6 linked regions of the Cricetulus griseus genome follow. The protein of the gene in region 2 binds, or shares a complex with, the protein of the main gene of each other region. Links are inferred from orthologs where the notes say so. Each region holds a gene or a part of one and is shown on either strand. Other genes may lie near its edges. The genes, in order: Map3k20, Nod2, Akap13, Map2k3, Pkn1 and Mapk14.

What was found.
Region 1: Nod2 (region 2) and Map3k20 share a complex: the UniProt entries of both Homo sapiens proteins name them as parts of the signaling complex. The link is inferred for Cricetulus griseus from reciprocal best matches to the Homo sapiens genes NOD2 and MAP3K20.
Region 3: Nod2 (region 2) and Akap13 share a complex: the UniProt entries of both Homo sapiens proteins name them as parts of the signaling complex. The link is inferred for Cricetulus griseus from reciprocal best matches to the Homo sapiens genes NOD2 and AKAP13.
Region 4: Nod2 (region 2) and Map2k3 share a complex: the UniProt entries of both Homo sapiens proteins name them as parts of the signaling complex. The link is inferred for Cricetulus griseus from reciprocal best matches to the Homo sapiens genes NOD2 and MAP2K3.
Region 5: Nod2 (region 2) and Pkn1 share a complex: the UniProt entries of both Homo sapiens proteins name them as parts of the signaling complex. The link is inferred for Cricetulus griseus from reciprocal best matches to the Homo sapiens genes NOD2 and PKN1.
Region 6: Nod2 (region 2) and Mapk14 share a complex: the UniProt entries of both Homo sapiens proteins name them as parts of the signaling complex. The link is inferred for Cricetulus griseus from reciprocal best matches to the Homo sapiens genes NOD2 and MAPK14.

The regions. Positions count from the first base shown.
Region 1 is NC_048599.1:102,755,701-102,759,200, reverse strand, and holds part of Map3k20 (mitogen-activated protein kinase kinase kinase 20), read left to right. Parts: intron 1-1,717; coding exon 1,718-1,748; intron 1,749-1,840; coding exon 1,841-1,980; intron 1,981-2,947; coding exon 2,948-3,010; intron 3,011-3,500. UniProt on the Homo sapiens protein: Stress-activated component of a protein kinase signal transduction cascade that promotes programmed cell death in response to various stress, such as ribosomal stress, osmotic shock and ionizing radiation.
Region 2 is NC_048596.1:164,271,256-164,275,191, forward strand, and holds the start of Nod2 (nucleotide-binding oligomerization domain-containing protein 2), read left to right. Parts: upstream 1-1,136; 5' UTR 1,137-1,208; coding exon 1,209-1,266; intron 1,267-3,469; exon of another isoform or gene 3,470-3,936. UniProt on the Homo sapiens protein: Pattern recognition receptor (PRR) that detects bacterial peptidoglycan fragments and other danger signals and plays an important role in gastrointestinal immunity.
Region 3 is NC_048596.1:121,744,965-121,748,464, reverse strand, and holds part of Akap13 (A-kinase anchor protein 13), read left to right. Parts: intron 1-2,291; coding exon 2,292-2,419; intron 2,420-3,500. UniProt on the Homo sapiens protein: Scaffold protein that plays an important role in assembling signaling complexes downstream of several types of G protein-coupled receptors.
Region 4 is NC_048600.1:74,919,638-74,923,855, forward strand, and holds the start of Map2k3 (dual specificity mitogen-activated protein kinase kinase 3), read left to right. Parts: upstream 1-1,418; 5' UTR 1,419-1,591; coding exon 1,592-1,640; intron 1,641-4,218. UniProt on the Homo sapiens protein: Dual specificity kinase. Is activated by cytokines and environmental stress in vivo. Catalyzes the concomitant phosphorylation of a threonine and a tyrosine residue in the MAP kinase p38.
Region 5 is NC_048596.1:160,720,999-160,724,498, reverse strand, and holds part of Pkn1 (serine/threonine-protein kinase N1), read right to left. Parts: intron 520-3,500; coding exon 219-519; intron 1-218. UniProt on the Homo sapiens protein: PKC-related serine/threonine-protein kinase involved in various processes such as regulation of the intermediate filaments of the actin cytoskeleton, cell migration, tumor cell invasion and transcription regulation.
Region 6 is NW_023276806.1:233,801,765-233,805,780, forward strand, and holds the start of Mapk14 (mitogen-activated protein kinase 14), read left to right. Parts: upstream 1-1,216; 5' UTR 1,217-1,387; coding exon 1,388-1,503; intron 1,504-4,016. UniProt on the Homo sapiens protein: Serine/threonine kinase which acts as an essential component of the MAP kinase signal transduction pathway.

The sequences.
Region 1 (3,500 bases), on a different chromosome or scaffold from region 2:
GCTCTTCAAATCTTATGAGGGTTTCATCTTCATAACTGGCTGTGAAAATACTCCAGAATATAGTAATGCCAATGGCAAGATAAAAGCTATACTATATTTTATAATTTCTATATACATATACTCCATGTACATATATATATGTATATATGTATATATATGTATGTATATATATGCATATATATATATATAGAGAGAGAGAGAGAGAGAGAGTATACACACACACACACACACACACTCCAGAATATAGTAGTATATCAATAGCAGGATAAAAGCTATGATTCAGAATGACAAGTACACATACTTGAAAAAAATTCAATTCTTAAACTTCTCTACAACACCAGTGGTAGACTTGAGCATACAGGAGAGAGACCATAACGGGCTGGAGTTCCCTGCACAGGTTCCCCTCCCACCTCAGGCCCGCTCATTAACTGACAAGATGCCTAACTGCCTTCCTTACTCTGGCCTTCCCCGAGAGGAATGGACAGAGTATGCCCCATAATCTTACATCCCAGGAGGCATGATACTTAAGTCTGCAGGAAGGCTCCATGCAGCTCTGGGTAGACTCCCTGAGGAGCAATCCCGGGTAGCCAGTTCTCTCTCCATATCTGCTTCCTTAATGGCAAAACAATTTTGAGAACTGCTGATGAGAGACTTCAGGGACCCTCGCCTGTCCAGATCCATTTTATAAGCTCAAGGGCATCATTAAATGCAGAAGAAAATAAAGATGAAATGCTAGCTAGTTCTAGCAAGGATGTGCTCCACCCTAGGGAGACAGACACCCCAAGGAGTCTCAAGGAAAAGTCATGATTAGGAATTCCAGGAGACCTGTTCTAGACGTCAGCCTGGTGTGGGGCTGGGGTGTGCCCCCTCTGCCCTTTGTTTTTTTTATGAAGTGAGTTTCTTGCTGCTTTAGGCAGCTGCGTGGGTCCCACAAAGCAAAGAAGCCAGCTTCCTGTTTCTCCCCTTCCTTGAACACTAGAAGCTGAGCCTCTTGCCAGCCCTGGCCCTGTATGTAATTGCTTCCTCCCCAGCTACAAGGGTGGTCCATCTCCTTTGAAAGGAAAGTGATTTGAAACAACTGAGTTCTGGGAGCTATTTTTAGTCTTTGCTGCAAGGTTAAGTGGCTCACATGCCATTCAGCTAAAAGTCCATTGTCTAGGGACCCAGGGAACCAGAGTGACTGAGTCTGGCCTCTTCTCTGTGTGTCTTCACCAGGGTAATGTTAGGTCACTGGTAAACAGGTGCCAAATGATATATACAAGGACAAGGGACCCCTAGGTGTAACCACCTCACTCGACACAGAAAGTACCATCTTTTGCATGGCCCCCAAATGGCTGCCATGGCCGAACAAGCTAATGGGAGTCGTCATCCTGTCCATCTCTATGTCCACTTCTGGGTGGTCCTTGTTACTCGTGCAGTTCCTGAAATAAGTATGGTAGCAGTCTACCTGCATGTATAATGGAAAAGTCACTATAGGAGCTCCTCTAGGAAAGATGTACACTTTCGCTCAAGGAAGTCTCTCAACTGCCCAATGCCCCCTACGGGAAGAATATCTCCAATTTGAGAGCTTGAGGCTTTAAACTCCAAAGAGAACTCTTTCATCTCTCCCTTGTGGCTAAGTTAAAGACATCTGAATCTATTGGAAACTGTTTTCTTGTTGAGAATGGCTACTGCCTGTATGTGACCCTCCCGAACCATGTGTGTCCTCTCTTCGCAGTATTTTTGGGTTCAGCAGCTCGTCAGAAAAGGCAAGTGAAATAAATTACCTTCGTATTTACAGAGTTAACTTTGTCGGGCTATGATTTATCCTCATTTCCTGCCTTCTGCACTTCTCTCCCAGGTGACTCTTCAGTAGAGATGAGTGGGTATGCAAGCTTGTTTAAGGAAAACAACATCACAGGCAAGCGGTTGCTGCTTTTGGATGAGGAAGATTTGAAAGACATGGGCATTGTCTCCAAGGGGCACATCATCCATTTTAAGGTACCCGGTGGGAGAGTGTCAATAAATCAATGTGTGGTATGGTGAGCCATGTGTGGGCAAATAGAGATGAAAGCATCACGGTATGGGACATTCGGTGCTGAAATACCTCCAGGCTTGTCCCTAACTAGTTGCCACACCTGCACTGCCCTGTTCCCACCTTAAAATCCCACAGCGGTTACCTGGATACAATGGTGTAACACCTCTGTATTGCCAGGAAGCCTCTAGTCTAGGGGGAAAATGGTGTGCAATGACACCTCTGAGAGATGCCACAGAGGAGACAGGGCTGGGCTAAGGGCAGGCTTCTGGAAGGGACATTAGGCAGGTGATGGCATTGCACTGGAGGAGGAGTCATGTGAGGGAGAAGCATTGCCAGAGGAAAGGCCTGGGGCAGGAGGAAGCTCAGTGGGCCCGAGGACTGCAACTAAGGTAAGGTCACACCTAGAGAGCGGTTACCACACCCAGGACTAGCCGAGGCCGCTTAGCCCACTTACAGCTGGAGGGGCCAGACATTCATGAGAAGTCCTGAAGGAGCCTGGAACTTTGCCCATTTGGGATTAGTTGGTTAAGTAGGAGTGTGGCCTCAGGTCTGGTGGTCTGGAGACTGCTTACCTACTGGCACCAAGAGAACTGTGGGCAGGGACTTCAGGGCCAGGAAACCCTTCATAGTTGCATCCGGGAGCTGAGTTGACTATTAGTGTGGCCCAAGCACACTAATAGGGGCCTAACAGGCCTTACCGATGGGGTCAGGAAATAGATGGGTGGAGCTTTACCATCTGTCTCTAGTCTCCTGTCCTTTCAGTGATGGCCAACTACCATGTCTACATATGCTTAACCACTGATAGAGGTTAACATCCCCCAAGATGTTCTATAAACTACATAAAGTCCTTTATTTTGTATGCTCAGTAATTTTAATCATCTTTGGTATCATCAAAGCATTAATAAAGTCACGTGATTTTTCTCCTTACAGTCAGCTATCGAGAAGCTGGCCCACGATTACCTGAACCTGTTTCACTTCCCACCACTAATTAAGGTGAGTGAGGTTTCCTCACTGACGGCTCGCTGCTTTTATTGGCATACGCACCTGCCACATCCACACCCGACTTCGCTAATGTCTGGGACTGTTGTTTGAAGTGAAATGTAATTACTTCTGTCCAACAAAAGACCCTTTGACGACTGTGATCTGTATAAATTACACACATTTGTTCCCCACGCTTTGAAATATTAACAACACATTCAAGATAAGAATAGTACCCCCCACTAAGATTGTAGGTGAAGGCCTCTGGCCTCATGCCTGGTTCTAGAGGCCTTTAAGTTACTAAAAAAAAAGCCACACACCAGAGCTCTGGGTTGCCACTTTCCCTCGGGGTGGAGGGGTAGGGAGTGTTATTTAAATAGAACACTAAATAGCAGTGCCCCTCCTTGTCCATGGGAATACATCCCAGCACCCCCTGCAGATGCCTGAAACTGAGATTAGCACCAAACCCTATGTATACTGCCTTTTCCTGTGCAAACATGCCTGT
Region 2 (3,936 bases):
AATAGAAACAAAACAACACTATTGAATTCTGATTAGGATGATGGTAGAGCCCAGCACTGTGTGGGAGGCAAGTGCTAATATGCTGTGACCTCCTCTCCTCAGCTTGCATGGGACTGACGGCCAAGGGGAAGAGAGTAACTTTAAAGTCCTAGTAAGTCTCCACCCAGCACAGCCATCTGGGAATGCAACCATCAAGACTAAAGGGCTTACAGATCCCTGGGAGGGTGCATCGGTTCCTGCTGACAGGGAGGGCTTTCCTGTCTCTTGTTCTCGGGACTCTATGGTTCCCTCCTAATTGGAAGGTGGCCCAGAAAGCCGGCCACACAAGGGCAGGATACACTGCACCGCAGGCAGGCTTCTTCCAAGATACCTGTCTTACCACCTGTCCCCAGAGGGAAATCAGGAGGGGTGTGGCCGCCCTTCCGAATCCGCCACAGTGGGCGGGGTCACTGGCTAAGTAGGTGGAACGACGGGCGGGGCAAGATCACGGAGGGAGTCACCACCAGGCGGGCGGAGGAACCCCGCGCTGCAGCTGGCGGTGAGTGCTTGCCTGCTGCTTCTGTGGTCTGCGGGTGCTCGGGGTGGTGGGTGGGTGGGTGAAAAGAGGTTTTCTGGGGGCAGACTTAGTGCTCCGGGGGGGGGGAGGGGTCGGGCTCGGTGTGGTGGAGAACACGAGCGCCTAATGTCCCATCCCTATGATGGTGTTAACTGGCTCTGCGCTTCCTTCCAGAAGGAACTGTTTCCCTGTGGAATCATCAGCAGAATAGATAGGCTGTAGAAGGAAAGGGGCTTCTCGAGAGGGGACCCGTGTCAGACTGTGGTCACTGAAGATGAAGAGGTTTAGGGCACGGGAAGCCCATTGAGGCCCCAGGATCCTTTGAAGTCTAAGGGGAGGCTGAGGTTTGGGGGTGGCTGGGACAGTGGAGGTGAAAACTTGCAGGTGAGGTCCTTACCCAGAAGGAGGAAATCCTGCTTTGGGTCGCAGGAGGAGCCATTCCTGGCACAGTTGTCCCCTCTCCGTGGGCCTCAGTTTCTCTGTCTTTGGTCTTCAGAGACCCCAGCTGCTGCTCCCTGATCCTTGCAGGTGTCTCCTGCCTGTCCTTACTCATTTGTAAGTGTGGGAGCTGGGGCCAAAAGCTGTTTCTGCCTGGAGAGACCCACGGCCACCTGCCCAGTGCCAGCTCAGCTTTCAAGCTTGATCCTCTCTTATGCTTCTCAAGTCATTGGTGCCTCTATGTCTGGACAAGCTAGCTCCCAAGCCTCTGGGTAGGTCTGTAGCTGGTTGAAACTCTCATGGCTGTTTTTTTTTTTTTTTTTTTTTTTTTTTTTTTGTTGTTGTTCTTTTTTTTCAGATCCTGCAGGGTCCTGGCCTGGGGCAGGCTGTTGGCTTTCCTGCCCTAGGGGGAGTATGATCTCCCCCTAGGGCCAGGGTTCTGCAGGGTCAGAAAAGCTGGCTCCATCAGCCACCTCTGCCCAATTGGGGAAAAGACCAAGTGACAGCTCTGTTGCTTCTCTTCCAGTCAGTCTGTTGTGAGGCTATTGGAGGCCCTGGTTTCTTGGCCATTTGATGCCAGGTGGTCTCCACATGCAGCTCCAAGCTGGCACTGGCCCACACTTTGCCCCTCTCTCTCACCCAGGTCAGCACTCACTGTGGCCCAGTGAGCAGGCACTTCCTACTAGCCCATTGGCTAAAGTCTGTGCCTTGTAATGGCTACTCTCTGGTTCCACAGCTACCTCCCCAAGCTGTGTGGAATAAAGACATTCTCATTCATTCAGACCAGTCTATTCACAGGGTGAGGCACAGGGTCCAGAGAGGAGCTCCAGCAGTGTATCATGATAATGCTTGCCATGGCAGATGATGAAAAGGACTGTGGGGAGAAAATGCTGGGACAGGGCTTGGGGACCACAGTTCTACATAGCATAGGAAGGCCCCTCTGAGACAGTGGCCACTGAACAAAATCTTAAGGAGGTGATGGGCAAGTCATGTGACTATCTGTGGGACAGAGAGTGCCCTGTGAGCATAAAGCTTAGGCAAAGGCAGGAGCACCACAGACCAGAGCAGGCTCCCTTGTTCTGAGAGTGAGGAAGCAGGTGAGGGGCTACAGCAGGGTGGGAGTCAATGGAGGCTAGGAGGAAAGGGGTGGAAGTTGAGGTCTCTTGTATTGAGCTTGAGGTTGCTATAAAGGCTTTTGGCTTTCGCTTTGACTATGATGAGATCCACTAGTGGGCTGGGCTGTGAACAGATAAGGTCTCTGCTCTGACTTAAGATCTGGCAGGTTCATCTAGTTGTGTGACTAACATTGACCTATAGGGGGTCATGGCAGATGAAGGAACCATGAGAAGGCTTCAGGGCTTATGTTGTGGTATAGAGAGAGGTGGAGAGAGAAACTGTGGCTTTCAGATTTGGGGTCTGTTGAAGGCTGGGTGGATGGTCTGTGATGCCCGAGAGCGGCAGAGTCAAGGATGACTCTGGCAGTTTGGGGCCACTTTCAGTTGAGAAAGGAGCTAGCTGTTAGGAGGAAGGTCCAGTGATTGAGTTGTTTGGAGATGCTGGTAGGTACCACATGATGTTGAATGTTGTCCAGAACTGTCAGTGACATTTCAGGCATCACTGCCACATAGTTGGGAATTTAAGCCTGTGGGGAGGTGGGCTTATGTGGGGAGAGAGTGGCTCAGAGAAGTGGCAGTGATTCAGTTCGGCGGCAGTACAGAGGTGTGTTATCAGCCTTGGAGGCAGAATGGCTAGAAAGAGTAGCTAGCATGTGGGAAGGAAGGTCAGAGAAATCCTTCATGGCCTCAAGAGACGTGCTCCAGGGAGGAGAGTGAACAGGTAGAACAAAAGTCCTTGTCAGAAAGGAAGACCAGGAACAGAAGGCCAAATACTGGAAGTCATGGTTTGCATTTTCACTTGTAATGGTTGTGGGGTGGGGGGGAAGGATGAAGGGAGGACTGGGAAGTTCAGGCCTAGACAAGGGAGGGCAGAAATGAAGGATGAATTAGTTTGTTTGTTCTATGATGGGAACTGATGTCCTGGGGAGCAACTCAGTGGAGATGGAGAGTGGGGTTAGTGCCCCAGGGAAAGCTTGGCCAGCCAGGACCAGGACACTCTTCTGGGGACCTCCCTTCCTCTCCCATCTGCTGGAGGCCTGGGACACTGCAAGGATTGTTCAGCTCTCAAACAAATCCTCAGCTGGGAACTTCAAGGAAAACCAGGCTGCCTATGATCCTGGGAAGGAAGGAGGTGCTGGGGCACAGGCGTGTGCATGAGCACGTGTGTGTGTGTGTGTGTGTGTGTGTGTGTGTGTGTGTGTGTGTTTGGGGGCTTGGGGATGAGAGGGGCTTTTTTTCATTTTTATTTTTACTTTTAATTTTTTTTGGTTTTTTGAGACAGGGTTTCTCTGCGGCTTTGGAGGCTGTCCTGGAACTAGCTCTTGTAGGCTCACTTCAAACTCACAGAGATCTGCTTGCCTCTGCCTCCTGAGTGCTGGGATTAAAGGCATGTGCCACCACCACCTGGCTGAGAGGGGCCTCTGTAGATACCCTTGACCCTCTGTTTCAGCAAGCTGGTGCCCCCTTTGTTTGGGTTCCGTCTTGCAGAGCCTAAGAGTGACTCCAAGGTGGCCCTAGCTGGATAGAGAAGAAAAGGCAGGGAAGCAGAACAGCCTGTTTAACCTGGAGAGGACGAGTCTGACTGAGTAGGAAGGTGCAGGAACAGGATACTAGACCAGCTTTTATGAAACAGGTGACAAGAGCATCTATCGTTTTGCTTTTTCTTCCAAATTTAGCCGAACAAGATAAACTAATGAAGGACTCCTCAGCTGGTCAGGACGATAGTATCAACCCCAGGTCTTCTTTTCCAGCTGCTTAAGATGAGATAGAAAGATGGCCTACTCAGAGGCAGGGGACTGGCAGAATAGGTCTGTGGGGCTATGCCTT
Region 3 (3,500 bases), about 43 Mb from region 2:
CAAAAATAAATTCTTTGGGATGACAGGATTTAAATACAATGCCTAGGCCCGGATGAAGGGCTTTTGCCTGTTTTAAAGTCCAACTTCCAGCTGTGGTTAAGTGATTTTAAGAAGCTAAGGTGGGACTTTTAGGGACTTCAGGTTTTTAAATTTAGTGCTGTTTTAGGTTGACGTCTGTCTCAACATTGAAATGAGGTCTCTAATTCTTAAGACAAGGCACCATGACAGGTCTATTTTGGGGGCCTTGGCAGGTTGACATTTCAGAAGCTTGGGAGTGGCTGTAAGTTGATGCCTGGCTGTTTTCCTTTCTTTTGGTGCTCTGTCCTTGGCCACCCTGGGTGGAATTATTTCTCCTTCTTGTTCTGTGGTCACAATTTGACCCTAGCAACTGTGAACTATGAAGCTTGTGTCTGTATCACTGGATCAGAAAAGGTAAGAAAAAAGAAAAACTGGCAGAATCTTAGACATGATTTTAAGTATATACAACTATAGTAAAGATACTAAGAAATGGTGCGAAATTTTGAAGAAGAAAGTTTTGAAAATTGGGGGTTGGTTGTATTTTGTATAGGTGGGTTACTTGTTTTGTTACCAAAAGGACTCATAACAGGGCTGGTGCTCAACTACAAAAAAAGTAACCAGTGAAGAAATTGAGTACTTTCTTTGAAATAGCCAGGGTCGAGGAAAGTCCCTGGTTACATTGTGCTAGAAAAAAGCACCTGAGTGTGATCTCATAGCCAGGGGTATTTTTGTGAAGGTTGCATTCCATTCATGGATTCTTTTATGGGTCAGGTTTAGCTGTTGATTTGGGAGGAGCCTGATAAAAGAGGGAATGTGACCTTTGCCTCACAGAAAGCATTGATTGATCACTGTACTCAGAAGGTGCTTGACCAAACCAAGCTAATCTTGCAGAGTCTCAGTAATCAATGTTTACGGTTGTAGCTGGTCCATATTTTCTGTTGATTGCATATAGGAAAGTTGAGGTTAATGCTAAAAATCACATTCCAGGATACAATAAAAACCATATCTTCCTTCACATACACAGTTACTCTCTGTCTCTTAGAAATGTTTTTCCTTGGGATTTTTGTAAAGGGATTACTTCAGTTTTGTTTTTTTTTTTTTCTTTTTAAATAAAACTTGATTTACTAAAGCTAACAGATTTTAATTCTCTGGACAAGCAAACTTGGATACCTATTTTAAATTGCTAGTAATATTGTATAATTACAAAAGAAAAGACAGGACAAGGAATTATAAATGTTCTCTTGTTAGGAATGTGACTTTCCCAATCGAAGGTCTCTAGAGAATCACAGATGTTGTTAGTGTGAATGAATCTTAATGTGATTTATTATTCAATGAGAGAAACTTCAGTCTTTCAGATGGGGATTGTTTTTATTGCCAGAGTAGTACCACTGCTACTTTAACAAGCAAATGGAAATGAGGCAGACTTTCCATTTATATTATATATAATATATTATATGTAATATATATTAAGGTAATTTCGACTATTCAATCAATATTTTCCCTTTAAAGAAGTGTCAGAAGTCTAAATTTGTCTTGAACATCATTATTATCACTTCCTGCTTTTGCATGACCATGTGGTGGCCGGGTAAGAGAAACTATTATTGTTGAGTCTGTTAAGAGCATGGTCAGTATGGGGACAGATTATTTAATACTAAAACAACAACAGAAAAATTTTAAAAACTTTGTTTTGTTTTGTTTTTCCAGACAGAAATGAATATTAGATTCTTTACTCAATTTTGCTTTTGGAAAAACTATAGTTCAAAAATAACTTGCTGAAATTGTCTAGTCTTATTGATTAAATTAATGGTGTAGAACAGGGTTTGTAATATATGTTTTAAGTGATTCTGGTCTTGAAAGCCATTTTCAGTAGCTTTCCATTTTCTCTATACAAATAAATTTTGCTATAATGGTGTCCAAAATGTACTGCCTTATTTAATATATTAATCTGCACCCTTGTAGTTTATTAATTTACTGTCACATGCATTTTTGTAGCTTTTCAAAGTCATTAATGAAACGGACACTCAGTAGACAATGAGTTGAATGTCCTTTAACTCTAAGCTCATTTAGAGGCTGGGAACCAGTCACAGACCATGTGATAAGTATAGGAGCTCAGTGTGGGGTCATAAATGGCACCAGCTCCTGCCATTGCATGGAAAAACAAACAAAACAGATGAAACCTGAATTTGTTGTGTAAATACTAAAGCACATAGGAACCTCCTTTTTTTTTTTTTTAATCGAATGTACTCTCTCTGAATAACCCATATTCTCTTCAGAAATGCCAGACACTAAAGCTGAAGATGAAGTGGATTCTCTGAGTAAGACCAGAGCTCCTTCTGAGGAGGAGGCTCTAGGAAATGGAACTACCACACCCAAAATGAAACAAGGCCCTGAGACCCAGGCGGTAAGTGGCATCTGCAGACCTGTATGGACAGTATTTCAGCTTGGCCTGCTTGTGTGATCTACGGCCATAGTTTTTGTGATAGGATGGGATAGATCAATGGTTTTTACCCTTTCTTTCTTGTCCTGCTTTTGAAACAAAGGGTATGTTTTTGTTAAACTTGTGTTGGTGTCATCAAAGCTTTGGAATCGTCTTCCCTACATGAATCCTTTGGAGATTACAATAAAAACATTTTTCCTGTGAGCACAAGACTTTGAAACTGGTCGGCAAATTTTCAGTGACACAACAAGAATTTACCCCAAGGGGCATCCATGCACATTATTGAACACGACTTGTTCTTTATGTCTTCATTGTGAAGGTCATCATAAAGTGTATAAAATATGGAGAATATCATTAGCAAAGGAAAAAGCTGAGTAAATATTTCCTTAGCAGTTTCGTGAGGATTTATACATTAGCAAAACCACAATTCAAATGAAATATGGTTGGTAGCTCTTTATATTTATAAAATTGTATAACCACCACTACCTATATTTTAATTTTTGAGATTTATTCATGTGTATGTTTGTTTTGCTCTCTTGTCTGTCTGTGTACCATGTGTGTGCAATAGTCAGAGAGCCCGGAAGACAGGACATCAGAAGAGCATTCAATGCTTTTAACCACTGAGACTTCTATCCAGCCTGACTTGTTTATGTCCTTGTGATGACATCATCTCAAAAACCCAGTGCCCATTAGCAATCTGCCCTGTCTTTCTTCATTCCACTAACCTGCTGGCAGTCAGCAATCTGATTTCTCTTTCTAGACATTTGACTTTTCTTGAACTTCATATAAGTGGAATTATAGAGCATGTGCTCATGCTGGCTGGCTTTACTGACTTAGCATAGTATTTTGTTGCATCATTAATTATTGCCAGATAGCACTTCATTGTAAAGAAATACCATTGTAAATAAGGTCTGTATTTTGGAATGCTTTATGTTTGGAGCTGTTAGAAATCATAGGGCTTCTGTGGATACACACGGACACATTACATAGACATGTTTTTGTGTACCTAGTATTGGAATGTTTGGGCCATATAGTCATTACAAAT
Region 4 (4,218 bases), on a different chromosome or scaffold from region 2:
GAGCAGCTCCACTCCCTGGGGCTGGCTTCTCTATTCATCCAAGGATGGTCTCTTACTTCTCTGTCTGGCTACTAGTCCATGAAGGTCACCTTCCTTGACCCCACCCAGGTGAGGTAGAGCCTCCTCTTAGGACTCTTGCATCTATTTATAGCACCCCACATGGAGTTTGTGATTCCTGGGCTGTTTGTCAAGTTGTCTGACTAACCCATTAAACTCCTCCTGTTTGAGGACCTTGTCTGAGTCACCCTGGTGCCCAGGAGGCTGGCACGGGACTAGAATCACTTTACCCATGTCTGTGGCATGCTTTCCTACTTCCTCTGCTCATTCCTCAAATAGTTCTTAGGAACCTACTATGTGCGTGGCTCTGGGCTAAGCCTTGGGATAGTGCAGGGGATGAGACAGTCAGGATTCCTAATTGGGAATTCCTAATGGGGGGAGGCGGGTGGCACGGGAGGAGGGGTGCGGTAGAAACCAAGTATGCAAACAAGGCATTGGTGCCCTGAGTGCTGGCCAGAGAGCTAAGACTCACTCAGGCTGCGACTGATTCCTTGACCTTGTGCTTCTTGCCCTCACTACGGCCGCCCGCCCGGCTTTCCATCCGATCCCAGAGACTCCTGGTTAGTGTGAGGACAGAGGCTCAGCGACTGACCGCGGAGATGGAACCCCACTCAAGGTTGGCCAAAGGTATTTCAATGTTTGGAATGACACCTTTTTATCGGAGACTACCCCTAACCCCTAGGAATAGCGCCGCTATAATGTTACAACACAAAAAGTTACTTTGTTACTAGGCACTGCCAGGTAGCAGCTGAATCCGGGTGCTCCTTAAGAGCCGGCGTGTCAGGTGCTCTTGGCTGCAGCCGCCACACGGACTTAAACGCGTGTGCGCTCCGCAAGGCGCGGTGAACTCTTTCCCACAGTTGGTCAGCACTCACCTGGCACGCGCCGCCGCGGGATCTCGTTTCCCCTGCTGCCCTAGGAGGCAGGCCCGAGGTCGCAGCTCTCTAAAGGGGAGAAGCACATGACGCTCACCCTTGGAACGGCGCAGCCACTTAGGAGTCCAGTCTCATTCCAGGAGCAATTTTCCAGGAGCACCCTACCAGCCGCATCGGCCCGGTCCGACTATCCTAGAGAGCTTGAGATTTTCCAGATTACGACCGGCACACGCTGTGCCGTAGGGGGGCACAGGCTGGGGTATCCAGGACCGCGCCAGCACCATACCGCGAATGGGTAGGGCTGTCATCTTGATAGGCAAGAGGGCGGAGCCGGACCGGACTAGGGGAAAGCAGGGTTGGATTCCGGCTCCCGGAGGGTGGAGCTTGTGCGTGACAGTCCGGTCGGCGTCTGATAGGCAAGGGCCTTTTCAGGTAGGCCAATCGGCGCGAGGGGCGGGGTCTGCGTGGCGCCGTCGGCCGGCGTCCGCCGCTGCCCAGTGTGGCTGTGGCGCCGCCCGCCTCGGACGCTTGCTACCGTCGCTTCTCTGCTCCCTATCGCCTATCGTCCGCCGCCTGCCGCCAGCAGCCATGAGCGCGCCCGGCCTCGGTGTAGTCTGCTGTCCTCTAGATTAGTGCTCTCCACCGCGACCGTCCACAGCATGGAGTCTCCCGCCGCGAGTCCACCGGCCAGCTTGCCTCAGACCAAAGGTAGGCGCTCCCGCCCTACCGCGCGGCCCGAGCCACACTCAGTTCGAGCCCATCCGGGACACTGGACTCCCTTCCGGGCCGGGCACAGGCAATGGCACTCCAGCCCAGGACTGGATCCAGCCCGAGCCCGGGACCTCGCGGGACCTCACTGGAATCCGGATCTTAGGCCGTGGGACTGCACCCAGGCAGGATCTCGTTCTCTACCCCGCTCCAAGTCTGGAGCGTAATCGTGAGCTCCTCGTTTAGGCTTCCGGGCTGCATCCTGAACTTAGCCAGGATTTCACTGATTGCCTGCTAGAGGGTCCTTGGGCTGCACCAGCCCCTTCAGGCCAGGCTCCTGGATTGTGTCCAGGCTGCAATTTACTCTCCTCTGGGCCCCCGGGCTGTGTTCCCAATGCCGGAAACCTGCCTAGTCTTGAACTCAGAACTCCTCCTCTCCTCCAGCTCCATCCGTTCTTGTGAGCCCTCCTTGGCCCATGCCTTGCTGGCTTGCACACTGGCCGCCTGCACTCCTCCCTGAGGCTGTCTCTGTAGAACTTCCTGGCGGCTCCACTTCGCAGCTCAGCCCATGCTACCTGCTGCTCGTTGACTCAGTTGCAGTCTTCTAACTGCACTTAGGAGCCGACCTCTTCCTGCACCTACTGTTTCTTGGTCTGCTGCCTTCAGAACCGGTGTTTGGTACTTGGGCTTGCTGCTAGGCCAGGGGCTAACTGTACAAGGCTGGGACTTGTCTCCAAGTAACTAACTGGCTTTCTTGGAAATTTCTGTGAGGTGGCAGTGATGCTGCGTGGGCTGCAGAAGCAGCAGCATTTGTCATGGGAAGTGAGGGGGACAAGACTTGGAAGGCAAGACTGTTTCTTTTCTCTTTCTTTCTTTCTTTCTTTCTTTCTTTCTTTCTTTCTTTCTTTCTTTCTTTCTTTTTCCAGGAAGAGAGGAACGTGTTTTTGACATGTCAGAGACTAAGTAGGTTGGGCTGCAGAAAAGAGAGTTCCAAACTGGACCTACAGCTGTGAATAGGTTGACTCTCTGCATTCTGAACCTGCCACTGCCTCACCTGGCCAGTCTCTTGACACATCTAGGCCTTATTAATGAAACGGATACCTGGGGTGTGATGGGAGATTAAATGTAGGGTGGTTTGAAGCAATCATGGTCGAGATGACCAAGAACCCATCGTAGCACCAGGCACATAGTAGGTACACAGGGGAAAAAGTTGGCTGTTTCCAGCTGGAAAGGTTCAGCCCTGTGGGGTTGGGGCCCAGCTTTGGATTGCAGCTGCAGAGCAGAGATGATAGGAATGGCAGACATTTAGAGGATGCTGGGGCAGTAGTGGCCTTTTCTCCTTCTGACCTAGGAAACCTCGACCTCAGGAGTCCTGGTCTTGGGCAGGCTGTCCTGGGCAGGCGGGGGCCTTTCCAGTCCCCTGCAGCTGGCTTCCATGGCTGTGCAGGAGCCCAGTGGGCGGGGTAATTGCATCTTACATAAGTGGGAGGCCAGATCCCTGACCATTGCCCAACTTCTGTGAGTAACTAGGGAGGCACTTGTTGGGGGAGGTGGCTGGGGAGGGACTTGCATGCAGACCTCGTGGAACTTGAGAACCAGGAAATTAGATGCTGCTCCAGTCAGGAAGGGTTGGAAGCAGTGTTTGTTTTAGAGGCATTTCAGTTCTTCCAGGCGAGAGATGCTACATCAAAATAAAGTTGCAGTTGTAGATTACAAGGGAGAAAGATTGTGGGTGACATAGCAAAGCATTGATTGTGGATACTGTCCACCCTCATGGTGACTTGAGGCCTGGCACTGGACTCTCTGGGTCTTTCTTCTGAGAGGGCCAGTATAAATTTGCAGATTGTAGGTTAGGTAACATGATATTGGGTGGGTTGGATGGAAGTTGAGACTCTCTCCAAGGCCCGGGATCCCTTGTAGCCTTTTAGGGAGTCTGGAGACATCTGTGATGGTGGAATGACAATATCCATTCACCAAAAGCTTTTGAGTTGTCACTTACCAAGCTTTTTGTGCTATACCACGTGCTATACATTGCCTTGTTTATTCTCCATAGCCCCGTTTGCCTATTAACAGAAACTCGGGGACACGAACCATTTACAGAGGCTACACAGCTGTGATGGACAGAGCATGGCTACAGCAGGACTATAAGCTGATCTCCCCAGTGCTCCCTCCATGCCATTCCTGTATAAGGTGCTTAGGGGAGCAGTGGGACACTGTCATCCTGACCATCACCCCCATGCCTACTAGACCTGGAGGCTGCCTGAAGCAGAGGACCACCTATTGTGCATGCAGTTTTTAACAGTGGTTGCTTCCATTAGTGTGACCCTGCAACAGATGCAAAGGTGCAGGTGCAGGCTCTGGTGAGTTTGCACCAGTATGACCCTGCCTGGCAGGAACTCTTTTCCACCTTTGCAGAAGACTTAAAATAAATTTTTCTTTAAATTACACTTATATATGTGTATATAGGTACATGCATGCCGCAGCATAGCACATGTATGGAGACCTCTCTGGAAGTCAAAATATACTTTGTGGGAGTCAGTTCTCTCATTCAGCCATGTGGATCAGCCTTCTACCATGT
Region 5 (3,500 bases), about 3.6 Mb from region 2:
TCTTTAGTGTTCGTTGGCATGTGCATCTAGGTATTCCTAATGCCAAAGACAGCTTTGGGTGGGATCTGGGAATAGGTGTGACCATGTGTTTCTCTAGGTGTTAGTGGCCATGCGAGTCTGGCATTTGCCATGGCTTTTGTTGACACAGGACAGTATCTTGATGGAGTAAAGCTCCAGAAAGTCAGTGGACCCTGCCTGCTCCCAAGCTTTCTGCTCACCACTCCCGGCTGCAGGGTCAGGAAGCACCACATGTGCATGCAGCTCCTGCAGCTGCTGGTGCAGCAAGTCAAGCCGTCGAGCAGAGCCCCGCAGCAGCAGCTCCACAGGGCCCAGGCTGCGGCCCAGGTCGGTGGTGGCTCGCCTCAGGTTCTCAGCGCCCTCCTTCAGCTTCAGCTCCTTGCGGATCTCCCGCCTGAGCCGCTCTCTTTCCAGCTCCAGCCGCTGCTGCACGCCGGGGGCCGCCAGGTCAGCCCCCGCCAGGCCCATCTGCTCCAGCAGCGACCAGCTGCGAGGCTCGCTCTGCAGGGGAAGACACCAGGCACAGAGGTCAGGGGCCAGAGGACAGGTGGCCTCACCAGGGCACAGTTCACCTGACCTACCACCCTACCCTACTGCACCCTAAAATTCCAAGGACAGGGGCTGCTCCTCCTCCCTGACCCACACAAATGGTAATATCTGGGCTAGAGAGATGGTTCAGGAGGTAAAAGCTCTTGCTGCCAAGCCTGGTAACCCTGAGTTCACCCCCTAGAGATCTACATGATGGAAAAAGAAAACCAACTCCTGAATGCTGTCCTCTGATCTCCACTACACTCACACACAGAAATAAATAAATAGGCGGCTGGAGAAATGGCTCTGTTAAAAGCACGTATTGCTCTTACAGAGACTCAATTCCGTTCAAGCCTCTAGTTCTGGATCTAGGGGGACTGGATTCCTCTGGCCTCTGCAGGCACTGATGTGCATGTGTACATAACCCTAAAGACACACATGCATAATAATAATATAAATAAATAATAAATAAATAAATAAATAAATAAGCCAGGTGGTGGTGGCGCACACCCTCAATCCCACCACTCGGGAGGCAGAGGCAGGAGCATCTCTGTGAGTTCCAGACCAGCCTGGTCTACAGGCGAGTTCCAGGAAAGCCTCCAAAGCTACAGAGAAACCCTGTCTCAAAAAACCAAAACTAAATAATAAATAAATAGAAGGTCAAAGAATAGGCCAAAAACAAGGCCTCCTTCCTCCCAGTTGCACTGACCAGGCTCGCCACAGGTGGGCCCTATCTCCCTTAATTTGTGACCTATGCAATGGGATTCTGGCAGGAAGACTCCAAAAGACCCCTTTTTTCTTCCAGTTTCCTGCACTCCTAACCAGGAGGTTCCAAGGGCAAGCTACATGTTTCTTTTGCCATACTCCAAAACCAGGAGAACCTTAGAAACATATCCTGACTTCTCTGATCTGCATTCCCAAACTGGGAGATCCCAAGGGCCAGCCCTGCCTTCCTGTCTTCTCTATCTGGTACTCCAAAGACGGCGCTCATCTCCTCCCACATCTCCCAAACCAGAGAGCTGATGTGGCACCCAAAAGTTAGAGAACTAACTTGTGCCCCATCTCCTTCCTACCCTTAGTCCCCAACTGAAAGGTACCCTCAGCTTCTGTCTCTAGGGGTCTCCTTCTGCCCATCCTATGGAGACCTAGCCCCTACCTCCAGATCCAGATGCAAAGGGGAATCAGCCGCCATCTGGGTCCTGGGTCTGGTCTGAGGGCCACGCCCTCTTCCTGAACCTCAGCCCTGCCAGGGCCTCTGGACTGCCACTTCCTCTTTCCTGCCAGCTCCCAGCATCCTCTGCGCCAGGGCAGCTCTAGGGCATGGGGTTTGTTGTTGTTGTTGTTGTAGTTTTATTGGGGGTTGTTTTGTTTTCTTTTTTTCTTTCTTTTTTTTTTGAAACAGGGTCTCTCTATGTAGCCCCGGCTGTCCTAGAATTGACTATGGAGACCAGGGTGGTCTGAAACTTACAGAGATCTGCCTGCCTTTGCCTCCTGGGTTCTGGGATTAAAGGCATGTGCCATGTAAGAGGTTCTTCCCACATCACCCCCTAAATGGCCATGCTTGCTTCTCTGGAGGCAAGCCAGGGACAGGTAGCCCTTAATTCCTGGCCTGAGAGAACACCCTGGATATACACACCCACAGTTGTATGTAGCAGACAGGATCTCATGTGGTACACAGCATATGTGTGAACCAAAGATAGGCTCATAGGTACGATCACATTTCCAGTTTTGCAGGTGTGAGATTTGCTCACAGGCTCACACATGCACACACATAAGCTCATATATATGTATACCCTTGTCATAGCTAGCTTCAGCTGTCAACTTGACAAACCTATGAAGAGGGAACCTCAACTGAGGGGTTGCCTCTGTCTGACTGGCCTGTGGGCATGCCTATGAGACATTTTCTTAATTGCTAACTGATGTAGGAGATCCCAGCCCTCTGTGGGCAGTGCCATCCCTGGCAGGTGGGCCTGGCCTGTGTAAGAAAGGAGCTGAGTAAGCCAGAGGAAGTGGGCCAGTAAGCAATACTCCTCTGTGGTTTTGTTTTAAGCTCCTGTCTTGATCTCCAGCCCTGACTTCACTCCATGGAGGACTATAATTTCTAAGACCAAATAAACCCACAGACAGGTGTAAGGGTAAGCGGACAGCCATGAGTGCTAGTTTGAGCCCTCCATAAGCTTCTCTCTCTCTCTCTCTCTCTCTCTCTCTCTCTCTCTCTCTCTCTCTCTCTCTCTCTGTCATTGCCCATGTCCCCACAGCAGCCCTGAGGCCCTCAGTCATGCTACTGCCTATTCATGTCTTGTCCCTTGTCCCCAACTTCCCCTTAAGAATCAGAACAGTCAGTGCTGTAGTAGAGGGTGTGTGTGTGTGTGTGTGTGTGTGTGTGTGTGTGTGTGTGTGTGTGTGTGTGTGTATTTGTGCAGCTTCCTGTAGACAGGCAGCATCAACTTCCTGTTTCTCCCTACCCAGATGTCCACCACGGCTGATCTCAGCTTGGGAGCCTAGGGGGCCCACCTGCCTTAACAGTAGCTCCCTGAAGTTCACTCCAGGAGAAGACAGCCCTGAGTGGCCCCAAATAGGAGACCACACTTGTTTGCCAAATATACACTAAATCTGAACTATCAGTGGTACAGTTAAAACGTATCAGGGACAAGGTATATATGAAAACATTCTATTTTCCATTGGATTTTACTGTGAACCTAAAACTGCTCTAAAACAAAAACATTTTTAAAAATAGTAGGAGTGTTGTTGGACAGATGGTTCAGCAGTTAAGTGCTCACACTGCTCTTCCAAAGGACCTGAGTTCAGGTCCTAGTAGCAGTGCCTGTAACTTCAGTTCCAGGTGGATCTGATGATGGCTCTGGCTTCTTCGGGTATATGTACATACCCCCCAATATACATCATTAAAAACAATAAAATCAATAAAAGTAGTAGTAACAGCAGTGGGTGAAGTT
Region 6 (4,016 bases), on a different chromosome or scaffold from region 2:
AATACAATGACCTACCAGCATGTGTGTGTGCATGTGTGTGCGCACATACGTGTGGTGTGTGTGAGCATGTGGTGCATGTGTGTGCGCGCATACGTGTGTGTGCGTGTGTGTGCACGTGTGTGCGCGCACGTGTGCGTGTCTGTGTGTGCATGTGCGCGCGCGTGTGTGTCTGTGTGTGCATGTGCGCGCGCATGTGTGTGTGTGTGGTGTGTGCATGTGTGTGCGTGCATACGTGTGTGTGCATTGTGTGCGCGCATACGTGTGTGTGTGCATGTGTGTGTGTGTGTGTGCATGTGTGTGCGCGCATGGGTACATACGTCCCTGTCCCTTCCAGCACAGGAATCGAACCCAGGACCTCGCAAATGCTACGCAGGCCCCGAGCCCGGCCGGCCCGGCCCCTGGAATTTGCTTCTGAAACGTCCAGGGCGGCTCTTCAGCCTGAGAAAACTGAAGGGGGCTCCTGGGCGTCTGGAGGGGCGGCCTGGGCTCCGGGGCAGGGGCAGCGAGCGTCCGTCCATCAGTCCGTCCGTCTGTCCGTCCGTCCGTCCCTGGGCAGCCAGGGGCCGGCAGCTTTGCCGCCCTGGCGCCAGCGCTCGCCCAGCCGACCACAGCGAGGCGCGCGCGGCACGCGCTGCGCCCTCCCCGTCCGCCCCGCGCTCCTCCCCGCGCTCCTCCCCGCGCTCCTCCTCTCCGTCCGCCCCGCGCTCCTCCCCGCGCTCCTCCCCGCGCTCCTCCTCTCCGTCCGCCCCGCGCTCCTCCCCGCGCTCCTCCTCCCCGTCCTCCTCCGCCCCGCGCTCCTCCGCGCGCTCCTCTCTCCCGTCCGCCCCGCGCTCCTCCCCGCGCTCCTCCTCCGTCCTCTCCATCCTCCCCGCGCTCCTCCTCCGAGAGCCCCTGCCCCGAAGCCCTGCCAGCCCCGCCCGCTCCGTGTTCTCGCGAGAGGCGCCGCCTCCGGCGCGCTCGCAGCGGCCCCTCCCACGGGCGGGTTCCGTATTGGGTAAGATCCCGGCGGGGCGGGGCGGGGCGGTCGGACGGGGCGGGGCCGTGGGCGCGGGCGGGACGGGGCGTTGTTCTCGCGAGACTTCCGCGAGAGGCTCCGGTCGTTGCCGGGAGGAGCGCGGCGGCCGGAGCCAGCCCACGGGAGCCCGGGCGGGCGGGCGGCGCTGCAGCGCTGCGAGCGGGAGTCGTGCGGCGTCGGCGCGGCGCGGCTGCAGCGCAGCGGCGGGAGCAGCCTCGAGCCGCACAGCCGGCTCCCGCGCGTGCCCGCGGCTCTGACAGGGGCCGCGGCGTCCAGCCAGCCCCGCGCGGGCGAGCGGCGGGCGAGCGGCGGGCGAGCGCCGAGGACAGACAGCGTGCGGCTGCAGGCAGCGGCCCCGGCCGCCGCTGGAAGATGTCTCAGGAGAGGCCCACGTTCTACCGGCAGGAGCTGAACAAGACCATCTGGGAGGTGCCCGAGCGCTACCAGAACCTGTCCCCGGTGGGCTCGGGCGCCTACGGCTCGGTGTGGTGAGTGTCGCCGGGCCTGGGGTCCGGGGACGCCGGAGCCGGCGGGGCGGCCCTGCCTGCGTGCCTGCGTGCGAGCCTCCGTGCGTGCGAGCGTGCGAGCCTGAGGCCCGGCCTGTGCCCGCGGCTCCGCGATGCGCCCAGCGGCAGGAATTCTGCCCCGGCCGGGCCCTGCACCCCTCACTCACCCACCCGGGTGCAGCCGCGCGGGCTCCACCCTGCGCCCCTCCCGGGCTCCCTCCGCAGCCCCGCAGCCCCGGGAGAGCGGGCGAGCCAGCCGGGCGGAGCCTCTGCGAGGAGCGGCAGGGCACACAGCCTGACCCCGCGACTGCGGTCACCGGAACGAAACTTGCAAGAAAAAAAAAAAAAAAGCGCTCCCTTCCCGGATTTTTGTTTTTGTTTTTTCCTTTTTCTTGCAAGACTCCATCTGGAGGGGGGACAAATCTGGCTCCGGAAGCGTTCTTTGGGAATTAGCACATGAATTAGCAGCACCCCGAAGAGCCTAGAATGCTGACTTTATCTCGGCGAGCGCGGTGCCAGCTTGCGTGCTGTGTTTCCGATTCGGTTGAAAGCGTATTTCCTTTTCGGGGCGGGAGGGTGGCAGCGCCTGCAAGGACGCCACCGCTCGCCGCTTAGTCACACACCACTGCTCATTTCAGTGTTGCTCCACAAATCAGTTTTCCCATGCGGGCCACAGGGACTCCAGATCAAGTGATCGGAGGTGTAAATAGCTTTTTAGTTGAAATAATTCCTGGGATGCTTTTCTTTAAGTCCCTTTGAAGATTTGTAGGGGCGCGCTATCAGCTTGCTTTTTTTTTTTTTTTCCCAGGGCTGAGGGACGTGGCTTTGGTGAGAGCAAAGGAAACAATGTTTCTCAGCTGTCATTCACACCGTGATTCTTGATTCTTTGTTGTTCATTTGAGACTTTGTATGTCCCTGGCTGCCCTGAACTTCACTCTTCTGGCTGGCCTGGAATAAAGGCTTTTACCACCTTTGCAAGGCCCTGGGAGTGGGTTTCAAATTAAATCCATACTATAAAATATCCACTCCAGAAGTGATTAGGAACTCTCCAGGGTTCATACAGTGTCTTTTAGGCTTAGTGTCTTCTTAGAGCTCTGGTTCTTGAGGTTCAACAGCTTAGCTCTTCACGTGCTTTAGTAATTTATATACACTCCTGTTTTCGAAGGTTTGTGAAATGGTTTGTTTTGTAACAAATTCCAGGGTTCTGCATGTGTTAATCTTTAGGTATGAGTCCTGTGTTACTTAAAGTCACACCATGAATTTCCTGTTTGGTAGAACCTTCTGGGTAATTGAGATTGTGCAATAGTGTCCAGCAACAGATCATATTGCATTTGTTGGCGCAAGCTGCTTAAGTTATGTTGCAGATGGCACCAACCCTGACGTCTTTCTCCCATGTCTACAGAATGGCAGTTCACACATCTGTCATGTGTATTTGCGACTGTTATCTTCATTCTCTAATATTTAATAGCTCATTAGCATACCTCAGTCCGTCATTCCTAATTGTTAGAGTATCAGGCTTTGCTTTCCATTTGAATGTTCAGGGAGTGGTGAAACAGAGTATCTCCACTGTAGGCCATCTGGGTGGGTGAACTTGCAAGGTTTCCTATGGACACTGCTGTCCTGGCCGAAGAGCCAGGTTTGCAATGAAGTTCAGTGGTGAAGTGCCATTAAAACTACGCTCACTTCCTCTGGTGCTGTTCTTTTCTATGAAATAGAATTCAGCACCACCTCACAGTTGGAAAGGACTTGTACCAAACAGCTTCTTAAAAGTAGGTGATACAGGGCAGGGCGGTGGTGGCACACACCTTTAATCCCAGCACTGGGGAGGCTGAGGCAGGCGGATCTCTGTGAGTTCGAGGCCAGCCTGGTCTCCAGAGCGAGTGCCAGGATAGGCTCCAAAGCTACACAGAGAAACCCTGTCTTGGTCTTGAAAAACCAAAAAAAGTATGTGATACAGGACCAGTGATGTAACTCATACTACAGCCCCTGGTCTTGCATATGGGAGGCCCTGCATTCCATCCCCAGCAATACACAAACAACACAAAGCAACTCATTAGCAACTCATTATGTATAAAATGTAAAAAGGTATGCAGCAGGAAGCCTTCTGTTTCTGTTCCCCAGCCCTGTTTTCTCTTCCTTCAGTGACAACCGCTATTCGGTTCCTTGCATGTCTTTTTCAGAGACGAAGAGTTTGTACCAGAGATGTAAGGTGTAGCCTATAACCTGTCGATGGGGGAAAAGACAGCTGAAATTGTACATGATGACTGAGCAAATAACTCTCTCAAGTTATTTGAAGCTGGGTTTTTTTTTTTTTGAGGATTTATTTATTTTATATATGTGTGGGTATTTTGCTTACACACATATATGTGCACCCCATGAATGCTTGGTGCCATGGAGACCCTGGAACTGGAGTTACAGACAGTTGTGAGCTGCCATGTGGGTGATGGGAATTGAACCTGGGTCCTCTACAGGAGCACTGACCACTGAATCATTTC